2 linked regions of the Oryza sativa Japonica Group genome follow. The protein of the gene in region 1 interacts with the protein of each later gene in a pairwise test. Links are inferred from orthologs where the notes say so. Each region holds a gene or a part of one and is shown in the gene's direction. Other genes may lie near its edges.

What was found. The genes of interacting proteins can lie anywhere in the genome.
Region 2: the proteins of transcription factor PCF5 (region 1) and N-alpha-acetyltransferase MAK3 interact in binary tests that used the Arabidopsis thaliana proteins (3 or more experiments, as listed by UniProt). The link is inferred for Oryza sativa Japonica Group from reciprocal best matches to the Arabidopsis thaliana genes TCP4 and ATMAK3.

Annotation. Positions count from the first base shown.
Region 1 is NC_089035.1:6,231,382-6,235,494, reverse strand, and holds the start of transcription factor PCF5, read left to right. Parts: upstream 1-1,313; 5' UTR 1,314-1,647; intron 1,648-1,654; exon of another isoform or gene 1,655-1,754; 5' UTR 1,755-2,088; coding exon 2,089-3,465; 3' UTR 3,466-3,567; intron 3,568-3,681; 3' UTR 3,682-4,113. UniProt on the Arabidopsis thaliana protein: Transcription factor playing a pivotal role in the control of morphogenesis of shoot organs by negatively regulating the expression of boundary-specific genes such as CUC genes, probably through the induction of miRNA (e.g. miR164).
Region 2 is NC_089045.1:21,021,687-21,025,863, reverse strand, and holds N-alpha-acetyltransferase MAK3, read left to right. Parts: upstream 1-1,377; 5' UTR 1,378-1,448; coding exon 1,449-1,643; intron 1,644-1,746; coding exon 1,747-1,873; intron 1,874-3,374; coding exon 3,375-3,430; intron 3,431-3,651; coding exon 3,652-3,867; 3' UTR 3,868-4,023; downstream 4,024-4,177. UniProt on the Arabidopsis thaliana protein: Probably required for N-acetylation of some chloroplast precursor proteins and efficient accumulation of thylakoid multiprotein complexes.

The DNA of each region.
Region 1 (4,113 bases):
ATCGTACAACATTATAAATTGGCCTTTTCATTCTCATATAGGGCTGAATTATGTTTTTAGCATTCTTCCCTTTGAGATGTACTACGGCTTACCCATAGCAGCCATGAAATTGAGCACTCCAACTAAGCAGAAGAACTAGGGAAATCTCTCTCTCTCTCTCTCTCTCTCTCTCTCTCTCTCAAAAAAAAAAGAATAAGAAGAATAAAAACTAGGGAAATACTCCCTCCGTTTCAGTTTATAAAACAACTTTGGTCAAAGTCAAACTGTTTCAAGTTTAAATAAGTTTATAGACAAATATAGTAATGTTTATAATACTAAATTAGTTTCATCAAATCAATAATTGAATATATTTTTAGAATAAATTTGTCTTTGGTTCAAAATGTTACTACCTTTTTCTATAAATTTGGTCAAACTTAAAACAGTTTGACTTTGACTAAAGTTAAAACGTCTTATAACCTGAAACGGAGGAAGTACAAGTTTACACTATCCTGTATGTAGATGTGCCAATGAGGGGTGTTTCCTTCTATCTTTTTTGAACAAATCTATGGGCACCATCTCGGTCCCTCGACCCGTTATGTTTTTGGCATCAAATGAACTAAAAATAGCTTGATCTTATTTCCATGCAATGGATCAAACTTGGGGCAAGTTTGGACAATGACGCCACATAAAACCCTCTTTTAGCAAGGTGGGGCTACAAATAAAACACACCATCAATCTATAAACAAGTATCTCAGGGGAAAGGTCTCACATTTGAAACTAATATTGCAACTCTCGACTTTCCAAAAAGGAAAATCATTAACCATTGGCATATACCCTTGAAAAAGCTCCAGTTGCCATCTTACTTGCCTATGCAACTGCCCAACTACAAGAATTATAGTACAAGCACTCTCTAAGAATACCACAAGTTAGCTTCTGAAGAGCATAGATATTCATGTCATGACAAACATGTCTACTGTACAACAAAAAAGAAAAATCGGCTAAGTAGATCACTCCACAATTGTGCGAGTAGATACTAGCGGTTACATATACACGAACGTATATATAAACATAGTTAAAATTGCTATATATTACCATAAAGCTATCGAGATGCGCTTAATTCCTTATCCATGGAGACTAGGGTGTGTGCCTCCGGTTTTTATTTTTTTTCCCAAAGGCACGTACACGTGTGTGTGTTCGAGTTTCATCGCGATTCGATCGTTGTCTACTGTTTTTTAATAATACAACAGATGTCCTAATCATCCACGCATGCATAACCCACAATCCCCCAGCATCATCCATCCCTTCCCAATTCCCAAATCACCACCTCTCTTCATCACTTGGGCTCCAGCCTCCTGCAGCCCCAGCCAAGCTAAGGTAAGCTCCATCTGCTTCTGATACACACACTCACACACAAAGCAGCAGCCAGCATCAGCAGCAGCAGTGTGAAGCAAAAATCTCTATCTCTCTCTCTCCTCACTAAAGCACAAATCCTACTCTTATCATCCTGTCTTCTTGCCTCCCTTCTGCCTCCTGCTCACCAAGCTTCCCACACAAACCCAACAAGAGAGTGAGAGAGGAGCAAAAGCTTTGGCTGGCCGTCCCCCCTGTTAAAATGTGATGTCCAATCCATGGGATTGCGTCTAGTTTAGTCCCCCACTCCTCTCCTGGGTCAGTCCCTCCCTGGCCACCACCTCTTCTTCTTGCAGCCTCCTCCTCCTCCGGGGCCTTCTTCTTGTTGATTCTTTTGATGGTTTTTGTGTTTCTTGTCGACCTAGTTATGGGATCCGGCGAGGTGGATGGACGCGCATTGGAGCAGCAACAGTAGCGGCGGGGAAGAAGGCGGCGGGGGATCTGGATCCGAGGCACCACCACCACCGGGTCACCCACGGCGGCGACGGCGGCGGCGTAGGAGGAGGAGGAAGCGGGGGACAGGAGGAGGCAGATGAGCAGCAGCAGCAGCAGCACGACCACCACCGGCTTCTCCAGCTCCACCACCACCAGGGTGTGCAGCAGGACCAAGAACCGCCGCCTGTTCCCGTCTTCCACCTCCAGCCGGCGTCCGTGAGGCAGCTGTCGGGCTCCTCCGCCGAGTATGCCCTTCTCTCGCCCATGGGCGACGCCGGCGGCCACTCCCACCACCACCAACACGGCTTCCAGCCTCAGCTCCTCTCCTTCGGTGGCGTCGGCCACCACCACCACCTGCATCAGTTCACGGCGCAGCCACAGCCCCCCGCCGCGTCCCACACTCGGGGTCGTGGAGGTGGAGGTGAGATTGTCCCCGCGACGACAACTCCACGGTCGAGGGGCGGAGGCGGCGGCGGCGGCGGGGAGATCGTGGCGGTGCAGGGCGGGCACATTGTGCGGTCGACAGGGCGGAAGGACCGGCACAGCAAGGTCTGCACGGCGCGCGGGCCGCGCGACCGCCGCGTGCGGCTGTCGGCGCACACCGCCATCCAGTTCTACGACGTGCAGGACCGGCTGGGCTACGACCGCCCGAGCAAGGCGGTGGACTGGCTCATCAAGAACGCCAAGGACGCCATCGACAAGCTCGACGTGCTGCCGGCGTGGCAGCCCACTGCCGGCGGCGCAGGCGCGGGCAATGCCGCCGCGCCGCCGTCCTCCTCGACCCACCCCGACTCCGCCGAGAACTCCGACGACCAGGCGCAGGCCATCACCGTCGCGCACACCGCCTTCGACTTCGCCGGCGGGGGCAGCGGCGGGACCAGCTTCCTCCCGCCGTCGCTCGACTCGGACGCCATAGCCGACACGATCAAGTCCTTCTTCCCCATGGGTGGCACCGCAGGCGGGGAGGCATCGTCGTCCACCACGGCGGCGCAGTCGTCGGCCATGGGTTTCCAGAGCTACACGCCTGACCTCCTGTCCCGCACCGGCAGCCAGAGCCAGGAGCTCCGGCTGTCGCTGCAGTCCTTACCAGACCCCATGTTCCACCACCAGCAACATCGCCATGGCGGCGGCGGCGGCGGCGGCAATGGCACCACGCAGCAGGCGCTCTTCTCCGGCGCCGCCAATTACTCGTTCGGCGGCGGAGCCATGTGGGCCACCGAGCAGCAGGCGCAGAACCAGCGCATGCTGCCGTGGAACGTGCCCGACCCCGGCGGCGGCGGCGGCGCCGCCTACCTGTTCAACGTGTCGCAGCAAGCGGCGCATATGCAGGCGGCGGCTGCGGCGCTGGGTGGCCACCAGAGCCAGTTCTTCTTCCAGAGGGGACCCCTTCAGTCCAGTAACCAGCCCTCCGAGCGAGGATGGCCGGAGACCGTCGAAGCCGACAACCAGATGAGCCACCACCAAGGAGGGCTGAGCCCCTCCGTGTCGGCGGCCATCGGTTTTGCCGCTCCCGGCATCGGCTTCTCCGGCTTCCGCCTCCCCGCGAGGATACAGGGCGACGAGGAGCACAACGGCGGCGGCGGCGGCAATGGCGACAAGCCGCCGCCGCCGTCGTCTGTCTCCTCGGCTTCTCACCACTGACCGCAGCAGTGGCGAGCAGATGACTTCACCACCACCAATCCACCATGAGCAAACACCACACCATGTACCAGACTATCAGCTAGCTCCTCCACTTCCATCACGGTGAGAAAAAAAAACCGAGAATTCTCATGGCTAACCTGCATTAGTTCAGAATTTTTCTCGTGTTAGTTAGCTGATCAATCTTGTGCTGCTGGTTTTGGTGTTCTTGACATGCAGGAATTGTCGATTGCATTCGGGAGGAGCAAAGTTTGGAGGTAGCACAAGTGCACTACTACTGATGCTACTACATATCGGTTGGTTGGTTGGTTGGTTTTCCATCGATCTCTTCTGCTGCTGCGCATGTCATTGGTTTTTGTTTCAAGAATTCACTCGGAGCTTCTTAGAATTAGGCTTGTGAGAATGCAGCAACACGATGGCAAGCTTTAGCTTAGCTTAGCAAGCCTCTGTGTCTGTTGGCTGTTGCGTTGCGCTAGGTGTAGTTGATCGATGTAGGTTCGAGCTTGCTTTGCTTTGTTTTGATTTTTACTCTTTTGTTGCTGATGCATGGACATGCTTTTGCTTCCTCCTGTGGGTTCAGGAGCAGTTGCTACTAGACCGATGTTGTTCTCAAAACTGATAAGTGGGATGGTGATGGATTGGGAGAGGAGC
Region 2 (4,177 bases), on another chromosome or scaffold:
TCGTTCCAGACAGGCGAAAGATCCGCACGCGAAAACCGCTTTTGACCGCATGGAAAAATCATTATTGTACTAGTGTGCGTACGAAGCAAACTGGGATTGAAAATGTGATGCCATGAATGCAATTTAAATTGAAACGATTTAGGATGATACTTTTTTTAATAAGTATTCAAAGACGAAACCAATTTGATTCAGTATGAGTGGTACTTGGTCTTTCATTTGTAATAATCAACTATATATACTAATTCCCAAAAATTTTAGTCTAAACTTTGTGGAGTTGACACCTCCAAGACCATTCTTATGGGTAAAAAAGATAAGATGTGTTACGAAGATAAAGGTTTTCATGTGGCTCATATTCTGTAATAGGCTAAATACGAGAAATATGCTTGATAGAAAATATTATCCTTAAGAAGATGCGACCTTTTATGAGTGATTTGCTTTAGTACAGAAAAAGAAACTCCCATACAACTTTTTCTTTTCTTGTCCTTGCAGCAGAAATTGTTGGGAGAGAATTGGTACAAAAATGAATGATAACCTAGAACTCTTTCACATGTTGGTCTTGGCAAGAATTAGATTCATAAGAAAGGAAAAATGTTTATTGCAGGCATATCTGAAAATAAAGAAATAGGAAGATCTTTGAGAATATTACTCATGGAATGGAAGTCTTTCTTTGTCCAAGATGAATGACTCTCTTAGCTCCCTGAATTCTTCTTGGTTACAATGGTTATAATTTTATTTCTTTTATTCTTTTCTTGTTTGTACATAACTTTTTTTAATATATATAACAAATAGGCAAGGTCTGGTAGTTATTTTTTTTAATAAAAAGGAAAGTGAAAAGGAAAGGTAAGAGAATGGACAATAGTGTGACGTCAGCATTTGAGAGAAAATGCCACATACAAATTTTTGATGCGGAGGAAAGAAAAGTAGGATATAGGAGGATGTCGTCATATATAATAACTAGAGAATACCCCGCGTGTTCTCCGGGATTCCGAGTCTTAATGCAAGTTGCTGTGGAATTCCACTATAAATAGTCTCCCTTTGTCCCATATTTCTTGTCTTCCAGATTTAGGGCTTCACACTGACACCATAATTTACAATGGTAAATCGATAATTTTGTGGTTGCATTTAGTTTAGTACCAAATATTGATAATGTTTATGGAAATTGGTGACATCACATTTATTCCATCATATCAAAACTTAAACAATTTTATCAACTTACCAAAAATTTTGATTTGACTAAATTTTAAAAAGGTTTATTTTGGTAGTAATAATCTTAAACATGTCCTCGCTAAAGATTGGGGGAGACGTGGAGTACATAGGAGTATGTTCCAGTCTTTAGGTGTGATTGCTTTAAGATTGGTGACGCCACGTGTCAAGATTGTAGAACGGGCGTGGGGTTCAAGTGCCTCTCCCCAACAGGAGTACCTCGTCGGCGACCTGCGGCGGCGGCGATGTCGGCGGCGGCGGCGGAGGCCACCGAGCGGGGCGAGCCCTCGGGCGGAGGCGGAGAGATCGCGTACGTCAGCTACGGCGGGGAGCACCACCTCCCGCTGGTGATGTCGCTGGTGGACGAGGAGCTCAGCGAGCCCTACTCCATCTTCACCTACCGCTACTTCGTCTACCTCTGGCCCCAGCTCACCTTCCTCGTACGCCCTCTCCTCCCCTCACCTCGCGCGCGTGTTTCACAAGAGTTCGTGAGGATTTGATGCGTTCTTGGTTGATTTGATTTGGGGGACAACCCCTCAAAAGGCGTTCGATCCCAAGGATGGCAAGTGCGTGGGGACGGTGGTGTGCAAGATGGGGGAGCACAGGGGGGCCTTCAGGGGGTACATCGCCATGCTCGTCGTGCTCAAGCCCTACCGCGGCAGGGGAATCGGTGAGCCCTCCTTCGATTCTCCAAGAAGAGTTTCTCTGTTTGTTTGATTGGTTGATTGACTGGTTTGTTTCAAAAGGGAGCATATTCTTCCCTTTGATAGTATCTGCACAAGTCTGTCCTGAAAGGAAGCGTAGACCACTCATGAATCTAAATAAGAACTTAAGAATCCTGCTGATTGGGAGGAAAGCAAAGGGTTTTTCAGTTTTTGTTCCAATTCGATCTGAAATGGCTGGCACCTGGTGGAGTGGTGGGCGATTTAGTACGGATTTACAATCTTCCATCGATTTCGATATGATATCCATATGTACTAAATAGGTGTTTTTCCCTTGTTATGCTTGCACAAACTTAATTGAGTATCACTTTTACATGTGTCAAGAAATTACTAGCTATAGGTCTTATAAGTCTAATTTGTTTCATGATCCTTTCACACTACCATTTACTTGTTTTTTCTCTGTAATAGTTGCTTTGTGTTGATATGGTATTATTTTTGTCTTAACATCAGCAAGTGAAATATGTCTGTGTAGCAGAGTGGAACGAAAACTAGCTTACTAAGTGTTACTGGTTTTCTAAAAACGATGCCATGTTAAGTATTTAGTAGGATTTCTTTGTTCTTTGCCTGCTTGATTTGCAGAAAGGAAAGGCATTTTTTTATTTCTTTTATGGGTACAATAGCCTTCTATTGTTCCCTTCTCTTAAACTATATAATCTTCTCTCATCAGTTTCAATTGAGATTTGTGCTATTATTTTGATAAAATGTTAGTTAACTTTGTTTAGGTGGTTTTCTAGTTTTGTGTAGGAGTAGGTATTGTGTTATGAACCAATATTCCCATGTTTAGTTTTCCCTGTGACAGATGTCTCGTGTTGGGTGCTTCAGCGATTCAGTCTGTGGCACATGAGAGCATTTTGGTCGATTAGTTCTTTATGGTTGGAGCCATTTAGCACTTCATCTGATGTTGTAGTATGCAGCCTAACCTTATCGTTACATCAACTTCTTGCATGAGATGATTTCTTCTTAGTGTCATACACTTGGAAGCGTGCTGACTATAATTGATGTAGCAATAAATAGGTGTGGTGCGACTTGCTAATGCATATATCCTGTGTGGGGAGTACATTTTTCATAATACTTTTATCATGAAATGCACACTGATATTTACATATATCTTGGTACAATGGTACAGATAGTCTGTTTATCTGAAAAACATTGCCTTTGTTGTTTCTGTAATGACATTCGCAGCAAGGATCTTGACAGCTTTAATTGTTGAATCCTGCCTGACATGAATGACCTTTCTCGATGTATGAATAGAGTATATGGTAGCTTTGTCATCTGTTAAGAGTATTGCGAAAGCTCCAGCTTCAGTTCGAATAGCTTTCCTGAAGTATACAAGTGCTTTGCTTTTGCAAATGGTCCCCATTTGTCTTTTTTAATTTTATCTGTAATAAGCAATTAAATGGACACTATGTTGGCCTTTATCAGCTAACCCTCTGTTTCTTCATGGTACAGCCACCGAATTGGTTACGAGATCTATTCGGGTAATGATGGAATCTGGCTGTGAGGAGGTAATCACCACTGTGTTGTTATCTTCTCACCCGATGAAAAACTTATTATTATCCTATTGTCGTTTTGGTACCCATCACTTGACTTTCTTGGTGTAAAATTGCTTCATTGATTATTCAATTATGCCCTAGACTAATCTGCAATTTCCATAATAACAATAATATCTTTCGTGAAATTAGTACAAAAATTGAATTATTTGATATCTGACTCACTCTCCAACCAGGTGACACTTGAAGCAGAAGTTACGAACAAGGGCGCCCTCGCCTTATATGGTCGTTTGGGTTTCATCCGAGCAAAGAGGCTGTACAGATACTATCTGAATGGCGTCGACGCATTTCGCCTGAAGCTGCTATTTCCTCGCCCTGATCCTGGTATGCATCCAATGATGATGCTAGGCAATGAGAGAGATGACCAGCACATGGATTCTCCTTACTTGTGATACCATTCTGGTCGATTGATAGGATGAGTTAGGATCCAAGGCATTTTGCTCTTTTATGTCAGTTTGATGATGCTTTTGTAGCTTTGCTGTAACTCTTGTAACATTGATGTGTTCAAAGATAGTATCTTATTTGACATGGCATTATGTTTCTTTCAATCCATGTTAGACGGTTGAAAAAGAATGCCTTATTACATACTCCCTCCGTTTCTAAATATTTTACATCATTGACTTTTTAGCATATGTTTGACCATTCGTCTTATTTAAAAACTTTTGTGAAATATGTAAAACTATATGTATACATAAAAGTATA